Pelodiscus sinensis: one gene and its partners. The main gene of each other region encodes a partner of the protein of the gene in region 2 in a complex. Links are inferred from orthologs where the notes say so. Each region holds a gene or a part of one and is shown on either strand. Other genes may lie near its edges.

Region 1 (5,381 bases), on a different chromosome or scaffold from region 2:
AATTAATGGATGCAAATCAGATATCCAAAAAGGCAACACACAAAAACCTGTTGGAGAACACTTTAATCTTCCTGGACATTCATTAATAGATCTCCAAGTCACTGTTTTGTTTCAGACCAATTCCACAAGCCAAATACACAGAGAAGGATTGGGACTTAACTTCATGCAGGAGTTTAATTCTTATGCTAATGGTCTGAACTGGGATATAGGATGGCTCGCACACTATCTTCAACCTTTTAACGTCTTAAACAACCAACCAAACAATGGCGGTTCTAATGGTTCCTAACAGCTTCTGGTAACTATTTGCACTATCTACTCGCTGTCTCTTTTTCTTCCTTTCCTCCCCTTTTTCCTTCTCCCTCCTTCCCTCATTTAATCTTGGATCTGGACTTATTGCACTCCGGTCATCTGAAGAAGTGGGTTTTGCTCAGGAAAGCTCATGATACCATCTACATGTTTTGTTGGTCTTGAAGATGCTACTAGACTACTTCTTTTATTGTGATACCTGTGTCTAGTGTGAACACTGTTATCTTAATATAAAGGTGCCTTATACTAGTGAAGTTTATTCCCCTTCCTGAATGGGCAGAGCTATACTATTTAGCTGTGTCTAGACTGGCCAGTTTTTCCGGAAAATCAGCCGCTTTTCCGGAAAAACTTGCCAACTGTCTGCACTGGCTGCTTGAATTTCCGCAAAAGCACTGATTTCCTACTGTAAGAAATCAGTGCTTCTTGCGGAAATACAATGCTGCTCCCATTCAGACAAAAGTCCCTTTTGTGCAAAAGGGCCAGTGTAGACAGCTCAGATTTGTTTTCCACAAAAAAGCCCCGATCGCAAAAATGGTGATCGGGGCTCTTTTGCAAAAAAGCCTGTCTAGATTGGCCACGGACACTTTTCCGCAAAAAGTGCTATTGCGGAAAAGCGTCCGTGCCAATCTAGACACTCTGTTCCAAAAATGCTTTTAACGGAAAACTTTTCCGTTAAAAGCATTTCCGGAAAATCATGCCAGTCTAGACGTAGCCTTTGGGTTGCCCCTGCTCCAGGTTTTCCTAGGATCTTCCCTTTTTGAAGGTAGTTGTCCCAGGAAGAATGCCAGGGAACTCCCAGGCGCTGGCTGTTGACCAGTGTATGGGGGACAGGATCAGCTCATGTCCCAGTTTTTTGTAGCCTCAGAGGTGACAACCCTATAAATAATACTCAGTGGACACCTATGCAGGGAGCCACACGAGGGGCTGCATTGCTCTGTCCCGGGACGCTGCAAGCCCGGCGGGCCTGTGGATACAGCGGAGGGCCGAGCTAGGCTGTGCCGCCGCCCGCGCAGCCGCTGAGCAGACCCGTGCCCGGTGCTGGGCCGGGCCGGGACACGGGTGGGGGCGGCTCTGTCACCTGTCGCACCATAAGCCCCCCCCCCTTCCCAGCACTGCGGCACCGACTCGCTTCCGGCCTCGGCATCCCTCCCCCGCCCCGCTCTTGACAACGGGCCGCTTCCTTAGCAACCGCGGCCGGGGCCTGCCTGCCGGACCGGGCGGGGCAGCGGGAGGTGGCGCCCGCGGGAGACGGTGAGGGGCTGGGGCTGGCGGGGAGGGAGGGGGCGGGGAGAGACGGGCAGCGTCTGTAGCTTATTCTGCCCCGCGTCCCAGGAGCTAGAGTTGGGCAGGGGCCCTCGGATGGGTGCGCGGGCGCAACGCCTCTGCCTGGAGTGAATTCCCTGAAGCCCAGGTGCGTCTTGAGGGGAACCAGGGACGCTTGGGGCTGCCTGGCCCTCTCCCCGCTCCCACTCTCCCTCTCAGCCAGCTGAACAGCCCCTTGCAGGGGAAACTTGAGTTTCTTCTCCTGTCCTGGGTTCTACACTCACTTATTAGGGAAATCCGGGGGCTTTGAGTTGCCAGCTCCTGGGACAGGGACTTGCCTGCCTTTGTCTGGAGCTCACTGCCAGATGCTTATAAGATCCGTTATAACCTTGCCATTCTGTTACTTCACAAACTCAGCACTTGTCATTTAAAGACACAGCAACTGCTCTCATCTCAACTTTCAGCGACTGTCCCCTGGAAGAGGCTGTGCTGCAGAGAGGTGTATTTATTAAGACTTCATTTCTTTTACAAAATATACAACAGCCTACTTGCATGTTACCCTTAGTAACCAGTACTAACTTATGCTTTCTTTAAGTATGGTGTCTTTACATTGTGTTTGTCTACTCTTTAATTTGCAACATTTACTAACCAGGCCTGGACCTTCCTGACATTAGTGGGGATGTAAAAAAGTGCAACTATTTAAAGGGTTAACTGATAAGCACCAGCATATCAGTTTGTGTTACAAGTTACATGCTGGCTCCCTGGAAGTGGGACGGGCAGGGGCTGCTGGCCCCGCTCCCAGGGAGCCAGATTTTTTACGGGCTCTGCAGTATAAAAGTTATACTGCAGAGCCTGCAGCAAAGGGAGCTGGCAGTCACCACATAACCTGCAGCCAAGCCTCCCTTAGAGCAGGGTCAGCAGCCCCGGCTGGTCCTGCTCCTGGGGAGCCAGCTTCACCCTACCCTGCAGTATAAAAGCTATACTGCAGAGCCTGCAGGGTGTGTAACCATGTAACTGCTAGGATTTTTAGTGGTTATACAGTTACATTTTTAAACGATTTTTTACATCCCTAGTAATTAGTACAAATTAGTGGGATTCTGTTGTAAATTGCAACTCTTAATACCATGCAGATGGCTCACTGTAAGAATTTAGTAAAGGAGAATAGTTTTTAAAATCACTTGGTTTAAAAATCATTTCTGCCTTTGCTTACTTGCCAAAATCTGCATTGAGTCCCTGAGTGTCTTTTTTCCTCTGTTGGAACTGATGATATCACTAACTCCTAAAGTAGCATTTTTCAGCTTCTGATGTTAGTAACAGTATCTGCAGTTATAGAGCAACAGAACTGAAGGGCTAAAGTCAGATCTTGGTGGATAGAAAGCCCTTCATTTCACCTTTAAGGATCCTGACTTTTACAGTATAGAAAGAAATGCCAGAAAGTCATTAGTGAGGAGAAGGAATCATGTTCTGGTTTGTTAAAGCAAAGGCCAGGGAATTTAGAAATGAGTTCTAAATTCTTGTATAACTCTTGGAAGTCACTTCCCATCTCTACCCCATGTAAAATCAAGAAATTATTTTGCCTACCTAAATGGGGGATTAAATTAACTGACTGTGAAGTACCTGTACATTGAAATCCTTGAATGGAAGGAGCTAAAGAGGAGCAAAGTATTATTTTAATTAATTATTAAAATTAAGTGACCAATTAATTTTTTACTGGGGTTCTAAGAGATCAACTTGATGAAGAGAAGAAAGGATAAAGTCTCTTCTAGTTCAGGATGTTGCTAGAGCTAGACTTGGCTTGGTTGAGCAAGCACTGGTGTTTTTGGAAATGGGTTGGATATTCTCTTTACCTCTCTTTTGACTCCATACATCTGAGTATTCCCATTTTGGATATCACCTTTCCCACAGTTACGGCCGCATAAAATTCCCATTCAAATATTGGCAAGACAATGCCAGCCACTGCTGATTGGCAAGTGTTGTCACAAGTAGTGGTTAACTTTCTTGAGGTGTTACTTCAGAAATACAATTATCCCCATCACTGAGGAGTGTGTGATATGTTGGTGATGACTCAGAGCAGTCTAAATGAAAGGCAATATAGAAGACAGGATAATTTTGTCTGTAGCATAGTTCATAGTACTGTTGACATAAATAGCCATGTTAGCAAATGGATGGCAAAGCTAGTTCTGCCAGATCTGAACTTGACAACTATTCTCCAACATGATCATAGCTAGCACAGTTTTTGTGCCTGGTATATATGGGCATGCATGTGAGTGTTTAAAAATCAAGAGACACATTATCCTTACAGAAGTCAACAACGTAGCTGCTTAATACAAATGTAACATACATTGGCAAAAATGGCTCATGTCCTCAGTCAGGCAGAGTCATCCTGATGGGTTCCTGACAGGTCCTCTAATCCATCAATGATGATAAACTTTTGGCTGTGTACATGCGTGTGCCCCCTTGTCTAATGCATTAATCATGCACAATTAATCAATATGACAAACTCTGAGAGAGCCCCCAGAGACCACAAATCAGATAAAGATAAAAAGCACCTGAGTAGGTTTATTGTCAAGCAAGGTACAAAATAGTTGTCAGCGAATGGACTCACCGCTGCGCCACTATACATATGTACACCATGACAATCGACTAACACCCAACTAAACTCTCTGGATTCTAATGTGCCCTGTCCCGTGTGGTCAGCTGACCACTTGTTTTGTACAAACAAATACCAAACAAACAAGTTACACATCAAGTTACACAGTGGAGAGAGATAAATAGCACATCAAGTTACACATCACTCCTGATGTATCAGGTTGCCACCCTCTGTTAGCTAGTTACCTCCCCTTACGTCACAGAAGGGGGGGGGGTTCCATTACTATCCATCATGCTGTCAATTTAGACCTGATCCTGAATCTGGGACAGTATGTATGTTATTTGTGGGGTATGTGCTGGTACCAAGATTTTTTAAATGAGGTGTTCTGTTATGACCCCTCTGGAATGTGCTTTCAGCCTGTGCCTAGTATCTCTGAAGTATGAGTGTTTCTGTAATAGCCCTGTTCTTGCCAATTTCTGTGAGCAGGGCCTGCTTCTTGCTCACAGCTTAACTTTGCTTTATATTAGCAAAGTCTTGACCATTGCTGTCTAGGCCTCAGGCCTCATATGTGGGCTTATGTTTCAGACTCTCATCTTACTACAGCTAGCATAATTCACCACTGGTGGAGCTTCACTGGTGGTAGCAGTGGTAAGAATGCTAAGCAGAGGTCAGTTGTATTTACTACTGTCATCCTGTCCTGCTCAGAGCAGACCTAGATAATTTGTTAGTAAAAACACCTGCAGCTCAGCCAGTGTTTTTACAATGCTAGAGCAATGGTGAGGAAACTCACTACAATTCTGGACAGGGTCTAGCTGCGGCTGCAAACTGTTGGACTATACCTGTCCTTGAAATATATTCAGATACATTTATGAGTTCTAATGCTACCAGGGCTTTATGCTTAATCCATTTTTTGGACTGGCTTATTGCTATCAGAGATCCTGTGAAGTCAATGGGATTCATTACATTTACTTCAATGTCACTGGATCAGGCACAGAAGCCAGAAGCTTTTCTCTTTGGGTATGTCTACACTACAAAGTTAGTTCGAACTAATGGACGTTAGTTCGAACTAACTTTCATAGGCGCTACACTAGCGCTCCGCTAGTTCGAACTTAATTCGAACTAATGGAGCGCTTAGTTCGAACTAGGAAAACCTCATTTTACGAGGATTAAGCCTAGTTCGAACTAGCTAGTTCGAATTAAGGGGTGTGTAGCCCCTTAATTC
Region 2 (5,381 bases):
CTTCCCACATTTCACCACCTTCCCTCAAGACTGCACCCTTGCCCCGTTTCTGGAGTTTCCTGAAAGCCACAAATCACATATTCACTGATCTCTGGAAGCACTGAGAGGGTGAGGAAGGAGTTGGTCAGCAGGCATGGGGGGAAGTGGGGAGGGAAGAGAGGTAGGCAGAGAGGCTGGGAGAAGTTTGGCTATTGGTGGGTGCTCAGCACCCACTAATTTTTCTTGTGGGTTCTCCAGTTCCAGAGCACCCATGAAATTGGCACCTATGGTTGGGGAATATAGATAGGAGTAGGCCAAGGGCAAGAATGGTGGGTGTGGTCTGGTGCAAGGCTGGATGTATGAATGGAGTTGGAATGGAGCAATTTGTGGGGTTGATATGGACAGGGAACATGAAAGAAGTTAGAATGGGCTATGAATTTAGGGTTTAGTGTGAAGGATCGGCAGGTGTTATGGCCCAGTTGGGATGAGGGGTCCATGAGCAAGGGCTTGGTTTAGGCAGAGGGTTGGGATAGAGGATGAGTTGGGTTTAGGGCTAGGCAATAAATAGAGTTGGGATGGGTGAGTGTGGGCTCGGAGCAGTGAGTATGAATGGAATTGCAATAGGTCAGCGGTCACCAACCAGTCGATCTCGAAGCAGTGCTCCCAGCCCCATTTCATTCCCCCCACCTGCAACGAGGAGCCTGCACGGTGCTACAGCCTCCTGCCCCTTGCAAAATTGGAGCCAGAGCTGGCTTCCTGGGGCGGGGAGAAGGGGGAAGGGAGGCGAATCCCAAGGCTCTGTGACAGAGCCAGCTTCTTAGGAAGTACATGTGTGCTGCTCCTCCCCTCCCCGTAGCAGCACCCACACTTTCTTATCTTCCCTTCATTCCCCCATAATTTGGGGAAGCAGAGTGGGAGGGGAAAGAGGGGGTTAAGATGGAGGCCGAGGATCATACGTGAAGGAGCTGGATTTCTTAAAGGAGCCACAGGTACGCCTCTTCTAGCACTGCCTGAAGATCCTGCCCAAGAGATACTCGTCCCTGGAGACCCCCAGGTACCAGCTGAGCTACTCCTGCCCCCTCTCTCCTGGCTAGAGACCCACCAGCACCCTGCTCCTGCCTCCCCCCCGACCAGACACCCACCAGCACCCCACTCCTGCCCCCTGTCCAAACCCCCGCCAGCACCCTGTTCCTGCCCCCTCCCTCCTGGCCAGACACCTACCTCAAGCTTGTTCCTGCCCCCTACTTCCCACCCAGATTCTGCACCCCCATCCCTATCCCACTGATAGGCAGCTCTATCCCACACATTGGACCCCTCATTTTTATCCCCACCCCAGAGCCTAGGGGGAACCAAAAAATCCACTAATCCTGGAACCCCAGAAGAGTTAATCTGGCCTGAGGCCTTGAACCTCAGACCTACCTTCTCTCCTCCCTCCCCACATGGGGCTGGATGCCAGGGGAGTGAGGTGTCTCAGTTGGGGCTACATCAGTGAGGTTGAGGGTTTTTGGAGGCGTTGTTTTTTTGCATCTCACTTGTACGGTCCCTGCTTTTTCTCTGGGTCACTGGCCTACCCCGACCCAAAAAGGTTCCCCTCCCTTCCCATAAATAAAGACAATGTTGAAACCTTTTGTGTTGGACATATTTTATTTAAAAATGAAGCCTGGCCAACAATCTCCTATCTGGCCACAGCATCACAACATCATAGCACCCCTCCCACACACCAACCCTGAGCCCCTCATACACCTCCTCTGCCCTGAGCCTCTCATACACCCCAACCCAAACTCCTGCACCCCACATCCACAAGCCAGTGGCTGGCTCAGCACCTCAACCCTCCACCTGACCCCAACACTCTCCAGCCTGGATCCCCCTCCCTGAGCCAGCATCCCCTTCTCCACCTCCTCCTGCACCTAATTTCCCTCCAAGAGCTTGCACCTCTCACCCCTTCTCACACCCAAATCCCTCATTCCCACCCCAGAGCCCGCACCTCCTGTCTCAATCCAATGAGAGTGAGCAAGGGCTGTGGCCAGCAAGTGATAAAGGAGGGGGAACAGAGAGGGCGGGGACTCGAGGAAGGGGGGGGCTCTTGGGGTAGATCTTGGCTTGCCCTAACAGTTAAAACGTGATCTTGGGTGCAAAAAGGTTGGAGGCCAGGGCAATAGGTGCAGCAGGGGCTGGTGGGCAGGGCAGTACAGAGTTGGAGGGGGCTGCGTGGAACTTGGGGGGTGAGGCGGTGCAGGGGGTGGTGCAAAGTTGGGATGGGACGGCACGCGACACTCCCCTCCCCCAAAGCCCCTCCGCACTCTGAGCTGAGGCGCCCAATGAGGGCGAGCGGCTTGTGGCCTCGGGTTGCTAGGCGACTGGGAGCGCCGCGCTGGGTCTGAAGCGCCAGAGGCCCGGCTCCGCCATGTCCTCCCTGCGCGACGCGGACCCCGGACTCAGGGCTTATTTCAAGCGCCACAGCCTCCTCGACGTCTACGAGGTAAAAGGCCCCGCCTGGGCGCACCAGCTCCCGGCTGAGCTGCGGGCGGAGGGAGCCGGGCTCGCAACGGCGCTGCGACCCACGCGGGGCTGAGTCCGTGTTAGCACCAACCCCCCCCCCCCCCCCCCCAGCCCGGCCCAGGGTGTGACTGACGCCTGGGCGCCACCTCCCTGAGTGTGCGGCTTGCGGCGTGGGCGGGAAGAGACGAGCTCGCCTGTGAGCCCTGGAACAGTAAGTTCCCGCCACGAGCGCAAGCCCAGGCGCGGCTGGCCCCTTTTCACCTCCCCCAAGCTGCCATGCTGGGCCCGCTAAGTCAGTGGGATCTCTTGCTGTTCCGCCCATTGACTTCAGTGGGTCTAGTGCGCCCGTATAATTACCTCGGCGGGAGGGGATGATTCTTTATAGCTAGTCTGGTTGAAAAACACGCTCAAGAACAGCAATTCTTACACATTCCACAAATCTCTGTGGACGAGGCCTATTCGTCTTGTAGAATAGTGATAGAAATGTAGCCGTGTTAGTCTGGGGTAGTTGAAGCAAAATGCAGGACAATGTAGCACTTTAAAGACTAACAAGATGGTTTATTAGATGATGAGCTTTCGTGGGCCAGACCCACTTCCTCAGATCAAATAGTGGAAGAAAGTAGTCACAACCATATATACCAAAGGATACAATTAAAAAAAAAGAACAAATATGAAAAGGACAAATCACATTGCAGGACAGGAGGGGGATTCGGGGGGGGGGGGGAGGAAGGAAGGCAAGTGTCTGTGAATTGATGATATTAGAGGTAGGGAGAGTGGGATGTTTGTGAGTTAATGGTATTACAGGTGATAATTGGGGAAACTGTCTTGGTAATGGGTGAGATAGTTCAAATGTTTGTTAAGTCCTTGTTGGCAAGTGTCGAATTTTAACATGAATGACAGTTCAGAGGATTCCCTTTCAAGTGCAGATGTAAAAGGTCTTTGTAGCAGAATGCAGGTGGTTAAGTCATTGAGAGAGTGTCCTTTCTGGTTAAAATGGCAAGAAACTGTTTTCTCTTTGTGATCTTGTCTGATATCTGTTTTGTGGGCATTAATCCTTTGGCGAAGTGTCTGAGATGTTTGTCCAATGTACATAGCAGACGGACACTTTCGGCACATGATAGCATAGATTATATTTCTGGATGCGCAGGAATATGTGTTCTTGATCTTATAACTCACTTGGTTAGGTCCAATAATGGTATCAGCAGAATGAATATGTGGACAAAGCTGGCAACGGGGTTTGTTGCAAGGGAAGGTACCAGGGTTGGTATTAGTGTGGTATGTCCTGTGGTGGTTGGTAAGAATCCTCTTGAGGTTAGGTGGTTGTCTATAGGAGACTATGGGTCTGTCTCCCAGAGCCTCTTTGAGTATGGTATCCTGTTCTATTAGTCTTGTGTTTGACTATCTCGGTTTTCTGTCCCATGCCAGAGGGTGCTTGTGGCTTCTTGTACAGTGGTTCATTGATGGAAAGGCATAAGCGTTTCTGCTGCTCCTTCCCTCTGTCCCCTAAAGCAGAGGTTTTAAATCTTGTACCTTCTTGGGCTTGTCCTCCACAGGCCACACCCAACATGCATACTATAGAACCTCCACAATAGGGATGTACCCGGTTAACCAGCAAGCATCAGTCTTATGTGTGATGCTTTTTGGTAACCGGTTAACCAGCGGCCTGGCCTGGCTGGAGCAGCTTCACAGCCCCTGTACACTAGGCTTGGCCCAACCAGAGCAGCCCTCTGCCTGTGGTGCGGTGTGGACCTGACCTGGCCAGAACAGTCCATGGTGCAGGGCGCTCAGATGTGTTGGAGCAACCCTCTGTCTGGGTCTACTGTGACACAGGTAGGGGGCCACTCCTGCCTGGGCAGGCCCCCTACCGTGGGATCCCAGTTATCTCGTTAAACATGTTTATCTGATTAACTTTATATGGGATTTTATATCCCTATTCCCTACTTGGCTCTGTGTGACTCCCTGGAAACAGCAACATGTTCTTGCAGCCATGAGGTAGAAGCATGGCAGGGGATGGGGACGGACGGACTGTATGCTGCACCTTGCTCCAAGCCTCAGTACCATAGTACGGTTGTAGGAGTATAATTTAGAGCTGTCAATTGACCTGTGTTAATGCCTGCGGTTACCACAGGACAGGTTTAACGCGTTAAAAAAATTAAAGCGTTAATCGCAGACGTTAATGCTGCACTGCCTCTTCAAAGGAGCAGCGCAAGCAGAGCTGGGGAATCCGCTGGCGTACCTAATGCACTGCCCCTTTAAAGCCTTGTGCTGCCCTTTTGAAATGCCATGGTGGCGCTTCCAAGGAGCAGTACTGCATGGAGCCCAGGGTCAGCTGGGAACTTCAGCTGATCCTGGGCTCCATGCAGCGCTGCCTCGTTGAAACACCGCCAGGGTGTTTCAAAGGGGAATTGCACATGATTAATTATGCGATTAATTGCTATTACATTTTTTAATCACGTGATTAAAAAAAACCTTTTGCGCAAGATCATTATACTTCAAAAAAGGAGGTATAAGGAACTTGTGCAAAAGGGGCTTTTTTGCAAAAAACGGACCTTCTACACTGCTTGTTTTTGTGCAAAAGCCTCTTGCGCAAAAAGCATCAGTAGAGAATATGCAAATGACAGCGCGACACATGCTAGTGAGTGCTTCATTAACATGCTCTCTGCCAGCAAAAGCCTGCAGTGTAGACATAGCCTCAGGGAGCCAGCTTTTAAGCCAGCTTCCTGCATGTGCTGACTCCTGCAGAGCTGCCTGCTGCCCCCCATGCTGCCTCCCACAGAGTCAGCAGCATGGGGTGACTAGAGCCAGTGCTCCGGGGGGCTGGGAGGGAGACGCTGTCTTAAAAAACGTCTCCCTGTGGGCATCGGCTTTCGTGGAGTCGCTTCCCCCCCCCTTGCTGCCTCTAT
Region 3 (5,381 bases), on a different chromosome or scaffold from region 2:
TTCACCAGCAGTAGCACAATAGGGTAAGCACCACCGCAATGCCCGCTACAATAACCCTGTGCCTTTACCCACACCCCCATTCATGTTCCCTCTAGTTTTTTTCATCCCTGAGGAAAAATGAATTTTCTTACGTGCACCAATATGGAGCTGATGTGTGAAAAAAATTCATGTGGCAGGGATGGACAGAAGTAGTTCTGAGTGTGGGAAGGGGCTCAGGCCTAGGGTGCAGGACTGTCAGGGCTTTAGGGTGGGTCAGAGCTTAGGACTGGGACAGTGGTCTGGGGAGCAAGGGATCTGGCTGGGATGCAGGCTCCAAGGTGGGCCAAGGCTGAGACAGAATTGGGCTGCAAGAGTATTAGGGCTCCAGCAGGGAGTGTGGGCTCTGGGGGGAGGCAAGTTTCTGGAATAAAGGACGGTGCTACCAGGCTACTGAGAGACAAGGGGACACCCCCCCCCCCCCATCTCTCTCTCCTAGCAGCAGCACCTGTGCTGGGGGGGGGGAAGGGAAGAGTGTGTGTCACTTCTTTTGGCTGTGGCAGCTGCAGGGCTACAAGATAGGCACCACTCTTGTGGCAGGTTACAGCAGAGACTGAGCTGGGCCTAGGGGAAGGGCTGCTCCAGCCATAGCAGATCTTGGTGCAGTGGCTGAGTCTGGGCCTAGCCTTTCCAGTTCGAAGGAAAGGAAGGGGTGATCTGGGGCAGGGACACTGGCTGCATTTGGGCTGCGTCTCCCGAGGCTGGAAGGGAAAGTTCTCCTCTGGCTAGCAGGTCCCCACCTTGGCTAGATTACTTGAGCTCCTGCAGAGCCTAGCTGGGCAAGCTGCACAGCCACACAGCTTACACAGATCTTAGTCCACAATAGGGATTACTCAAATGAATGTGTAACTGCTGAAATTTCCAGTGGTTACATAGCAGGGGATGGGGCAGGTGGCTTTTCTGCAGCTGGTGTACATGGGGAGTTGGCGAGCTTCACCTGTTCCCTCTCCACTCTGCTGCTGCCTCTGATACAGAAGCAGCAGCGAAGGTGAGGAGAGAGGGTTGCATGTAACCGTGCACAGTAACCAATGAGCATGGGCTCATTGGTTAACAATGTACACAGTTACACTTTCACACCCCTAGTGCACAACCCCTTTTTGGGTCATGAAGGAACTCAACTATTCCAGCACTGTAAAATTTAAGTACATTACATCATGAAGTTCATGCTTTTTAAAATCCCATGACAATAAAATTGACCATGAATCTGAAACTGTCCTATCCATAACCAAACTGTAATGCAATTGATTGCATATGCAGTCTGCATCCACGAACAAGTAACTTGCAATTGTAGCTATCATTAGATGGCAGCCAACTTCTACCAACTCTTGACAGAAAGGGCTGGTTAACCATGTGTGGCAGCATGGGATAGTAGGAATTTAGACTGTCCCACAACATACTGATCCGAACACAACTGTGCAGCATAACAAGATTTTATAGGGGACAGATCTTTGGGATGGGAATAGCAATCAGTGCCAAGTACATCACAACAGAGGGTGAACACCCGGCTCTACTTAAGGCAGCCCACTCTGCAGGAGCCGAGGAGAGGATTTGCGATCCCCGGCCAACATGACAGCAAAGGACCAAGGAAGTGTTCAGAGCCCGTCGCTCACCTCCCAGACATGGCGTCGTCCTGAAGTCCTGCTCCCAGCAGGCCTGAGAGAGAAGCACGAAGATTTCAGCCGCCGCACTAGGGAGCCGGGCACCCCACGGCCGCAGCAGGCCCTGCCCCCCCTCCGCAGCGCCCGGCACGTCGCCGGGGGACCCGCAGCCTCCACAGGGCCGCAGCCTCCGGTGCTCCCCGCTAACCCCGGCCGGCAACGGGGGAGCCCAGCTCGGCACGGGCCGGGCTACGTTCGCCAGGCCGGGCCCCCCCACCCCGGGGGCTGAAGAGCCAGGGACCCCGTGGGGCTGTGGGAGCCGGCTCAGGCCGGGGCCTAGCACCATCCGCCGCGCATCGGCGCCATCCCGCCGCCTGCCCCCGCCACACGCGCCCCCTGCGCAGCCCGGGCCCCGCCGCACCTGCCCCGCCCCACGGCGACGGGAGAACCCCCCTGAACCCACCTCGGGACCTCCGCTCCCCGGACTCACCCCCGCGGCTCCGACCCAAGATGGCGGCGAAAGGGAGAGCGGCCACCAAGCATGCCGGGATATGGCATCGCAAGGGCCCTTGGGTCGCCCGCAATGACTGCCTGAGTAGAAAACGCGCCCGCGGACGGGTGAATAAAACCCAGCCGCGGCCCCACCCTCCCTCTCTGTCCCCCGCGCCCTTTGTGTGGGCACCTCCCCTGCGAGGTCGTGGTTCAGGGGTTGTGCCCGACAGGCACCCACGTAGGCAGTGTGACTGGAAGGTCCCCCTTGAGCTTGGTAGTTGCCATGGAGACCAGCTCTGTCCGGCCTGCGGCCTGTGCGTGAGTCCCCTCAGTGTCACTGATAATAGACCCGGGGGGGGGGGGGGGAGGGAGCGACCTGCCCAGTGCGCCCCCCCCGGTGGATAGCGGGGGGCCCTGGGTCCGAGCGCAGCTAGGGAGCAGGGCAAAGCCCCTTGGGGAGAGGTGTCCCATTGCCCCCCCCCCCCGTGAAGGGAGCATCAGGGGCCCAGCCCTGCCCCCCCTCCTGTGGCGCGCCCCTGGGGGCCGCCTGTCTCCCGCACAGGGGCTGGGGGAGGGACACACCCGGGCGGGGGCCACAGGACTGCCCCCCCCCCGGGGAGGGTTAAAGCCCAACCCGCCATGAGAAAGGGGCCGTGGCCCGGGGCCGTGGCGAGGGGGGCCACGGCCCCAAGTAGGGACGTGAAGGATCCGTTCATCGAAGGGTCACGTGGCCTCCTGACTTCTAGCCGGTTACTCCTCTTGATAGTCCCCGGGGGCGGGGCCGGCCGCCAGTGCGCCCTGGCCCCACTCCCAAGGAGCTCCCCCCCCCCCCCCCACACCATGCTGCTGCCTCGGATACAGATGCAGCAGCACAGGGCGCCAGGTAGGAGCTGTTCCCTGAGAGGAGCCAGTTTAAAAGTCATCTCCCCTGGCTGCCTGTCACTGCTGCTGCCCCTGCTTGACACACGCAGCAGTGCGGGGTGGCAGCAACCCCCGTCTAGGGTGAGGCCGTCTGAGCTCCTGGAACTGAGCCAGGCTGCTTGCCTGCCTGGTGCCTAACACACTTTAAATGCAGAGTCGCAGCAGGGGAAGGTCCTGGAGCAGGACGGAGCTGGGTTGCTGGCCAGCCTGCTAAACAATTTACTGGCAGGGTGGGGGGAATTGCGTATAGTCTTTAGCATTAACCTATAAGCTTCTGGTTATATCAATTACACTGTTACATCCCTAGTACAAACCAGTGTGATCACACAAGCTCTGTGTGCGCCAAGAGGACTCTGCTTGGGTGTTGTGCCCACAACCTTTCTGCTGTATTTTGGCCATTTTTTGGGCGGTGAGTGCTTAGGAGAAGACTATCTTTCTATGCACCTGGCAGCCCCTGTGGCTTCTTCCATGCCACTGTAACAGTAAGTAACTTTAAAATTTACCTTTAATCCCTCATTTAGGCCTGGGTTGAGGATTTGGGCTTCATTGGAACAAACACATGTTTAAGTGATTTTCTGAAGAGGAGTGCACTAAGCATGCACTTAACTGCTTGGCAGAATCAGGGCCTTGTTGCTGATGCCTGTCCATGCAGCTAAGGCCACTGGAGAATTAGGGTAAATTTTTAAAAAGTGCCTTAGGGTATGTCTACACAGCAGCATTACAAAGAGGGCATCTACACTGCAAGTCATTACTTTGGAATAATGTCAGGCTGGAGGATTTCTTACTCCAATTCCTGTAACCTTCATATCACGCTTAAAATTAAGAGAAGTCAAAGGAAGAGTGAAGATTTCCTGCTGCGTAGACAGTGCCAAAAGCTGAATTATGTATGCAATTGCTGTAGCTCAAGTTGCGTAGCTTAATTCAACTTTTGCCCTCAGTGACTTAGCAGCTTAAACTCTATTTTCAAAAGTGACATTAGCTGAAACTTGGGCTTCTAAGTAACTAATTCACTCTTTAAAATAGGTTTTAGACTCCCAAGTAGCTCACATGCTTTTAAAAAATTTAACTGCCTCTGTGATAATCCCCTTACTTCTGAAGGCTGCAGATTTAATCTGGAAAGTCTCAGGGCCCGATGCAGTAAAGTATTTGAACACCTTTAGCACCTAACAAGATCTAGACATTTTTTTAAAAGCACCGGAGGAACTGTTTCAGGCAAGGTGAAAATGTGATGTAGACTTTTTGGTCAGGTTTGGCGGTCATGTTCACTGGGCTGTTCCCACAGAGAGACTATGAAAAGCAGTGCTGCTCTCTTTGCCAAATCCTTATTTTGTCAGCATCAGTGGATTTGGCTCTAGCACCATTGGATCTTGGAGAGGATCCAGTGTGGTGAGATCCAACTTTGCTGAAAATGCATGCCTTTGCACTAGCGTGCCCTCATAATATGACCCCTGCAAGAGCTTTACAGTCATTGAACTCCAGGCCAGCTGCTGCTTCTGGATTATTCTCACAGGGTTCTATAGTGAGGAAGCAGCAGGAAAGTTAGTACTGAAAAAAAATCTTGGTATTATTCTTTTTATAATAGCACCAGAAAGCATCCAAAGTGCCTCTTTGTATAGCCAAAGGATGTGATACCTGTCTTACCTGAAAAATCCCACAAGTTTCTAATGGGGTTGGTGTCTCAGACAGTAATGCCCCAAGCCCCTGTCTTCACCTATACTATGCAGGCTAAATTCCACGTAGGAGTTCTTCCATGCTCCCTCCCCACCCCCATTCAGTTCCATTTGGTTCTCATTCCCTTCAGCCTTTAGAAATTAGAGGCTAAACAAATGTTCTTCTTCAGAACAGAATCTACAGTGAGTCGCGTAAAAAGTCAAGAAGCCAAATTATTCTAATTTATCAGTATTTGTTGTTTTTTTTTAAATCAGCAACTTGCTTTCTAACATTTGTAGGGCTATTAATGATTTTGTACAATGTTACCTCTAATTTTATTTCATCCATGTGCAGATTTTTTCCATCCATGTGTGAAATAAATTTTCTGTGCTCCAAAGCATGTGTGAATGTGCACTACCAGTAGAAAGAAAAAACCTAGATGTGAGCACTCTGCTAGCTAATCAGCTAGGCAGCATCTGAATCCCTCCTGAGCTGCACAAGTGCACCGCTTACAGGGAACACTGGGTCTGTACAGCCATTGGCCAATAATGGCTTGCTGTTTTTTTTCCTGTAACAGTAATTCAGCTACCCCCTGAAGCTCCAAAAGCAAGGATGTTTCTGATTTAAGGCTCAACAGCTGCTCTGTGAACTCACCAGTCTGACTCTGCCAATATTCTGGCAAAA

Evidence for each region. The genes of interacting proteins can lie anywhere in the genome.
Region 1: FBXL13 (region 2) and DRC5 share a complex: the UniProt entries of both Homo sapiens proteins name them as parts of the nexin-dynein regulatory complex. The link is inferred for Pelodiscus sinensis from reciprocal best matches to the Homo sapiens genes FBXL13 and DRC5.
Region 3: FBXL13 (region 2) and DRC9 share a complex: the UniProt entries of both Homo sapiens proteins name them as parts of the nexin-dynein regulatory complex. The link is inferred for Pelodiscus sinensis from reciprocal best matches to the Homo sapiens genes FBXL13 and DRC9.

What each region holds. Positions count from the first base shown.
Region 1 is NC_134713.1:140,620,868-140,626,248, reverse strand, and holds the start of DRC5 (dynein regulatory complex subunit 5), read left to right. Parts: upstream 1-1,418; 5' UTR 1,419-1,557; intron 1,558-1,588; exon of another isoform or gene 1,589-1,717; intron 1,718-1,986; exon of another isoform or gene 1,987-2,068; intron 2,069-5,381. UniProt on the Homo sapiens protein: Component of the nexin-dynein regulatory complex (N-DRC) a key regulator of ciliary/flagellar motility which maintains the alignment and integrity of the distal axoneme and regulates microtubule sliding in motile axonemes.
Region 2 is NC_134711.1:23,448,825-23,454,205, reverse strand, and holds the start of FBXL13 (F-box and leucine-rich repeat protein 13), read left to right. Parts: upstream 1-2,087; 5' UTR 2,088-2,383; coding exon 2,384-2,458; intron 2,459-5,381. UniProt on the Homo sapiens protein: Substrate-recognition component of the SCF (SKP1-CUL1-F-box protein)-type E3 ubiquitin ligase complex.
Region 3 is NC_134720.1:50,767,211-50,772,591, forward strand, and holds the start of DRC9 (dynein regulatory complex protein 9), read left to right. Parts: upstream 1-2,102; 5' UTR 2,103-2,440; exon of another isoform or gene 2,441-2,444; intron 2,445-2,944; exon of another isoform or gene 2,945-3,128; intron 3,129-3,354; 5' UTR 3,355-3,529; intron 3,530-5,381. UniProt on the Homo sapiens protein: Component of the nexin-dynein regulatory complex (N-DRC), a key regulator of ciliary/flagellar motility which maintains the alignment and integrity of the distal axoneme and regulates microtubule sliding in motile axonemes.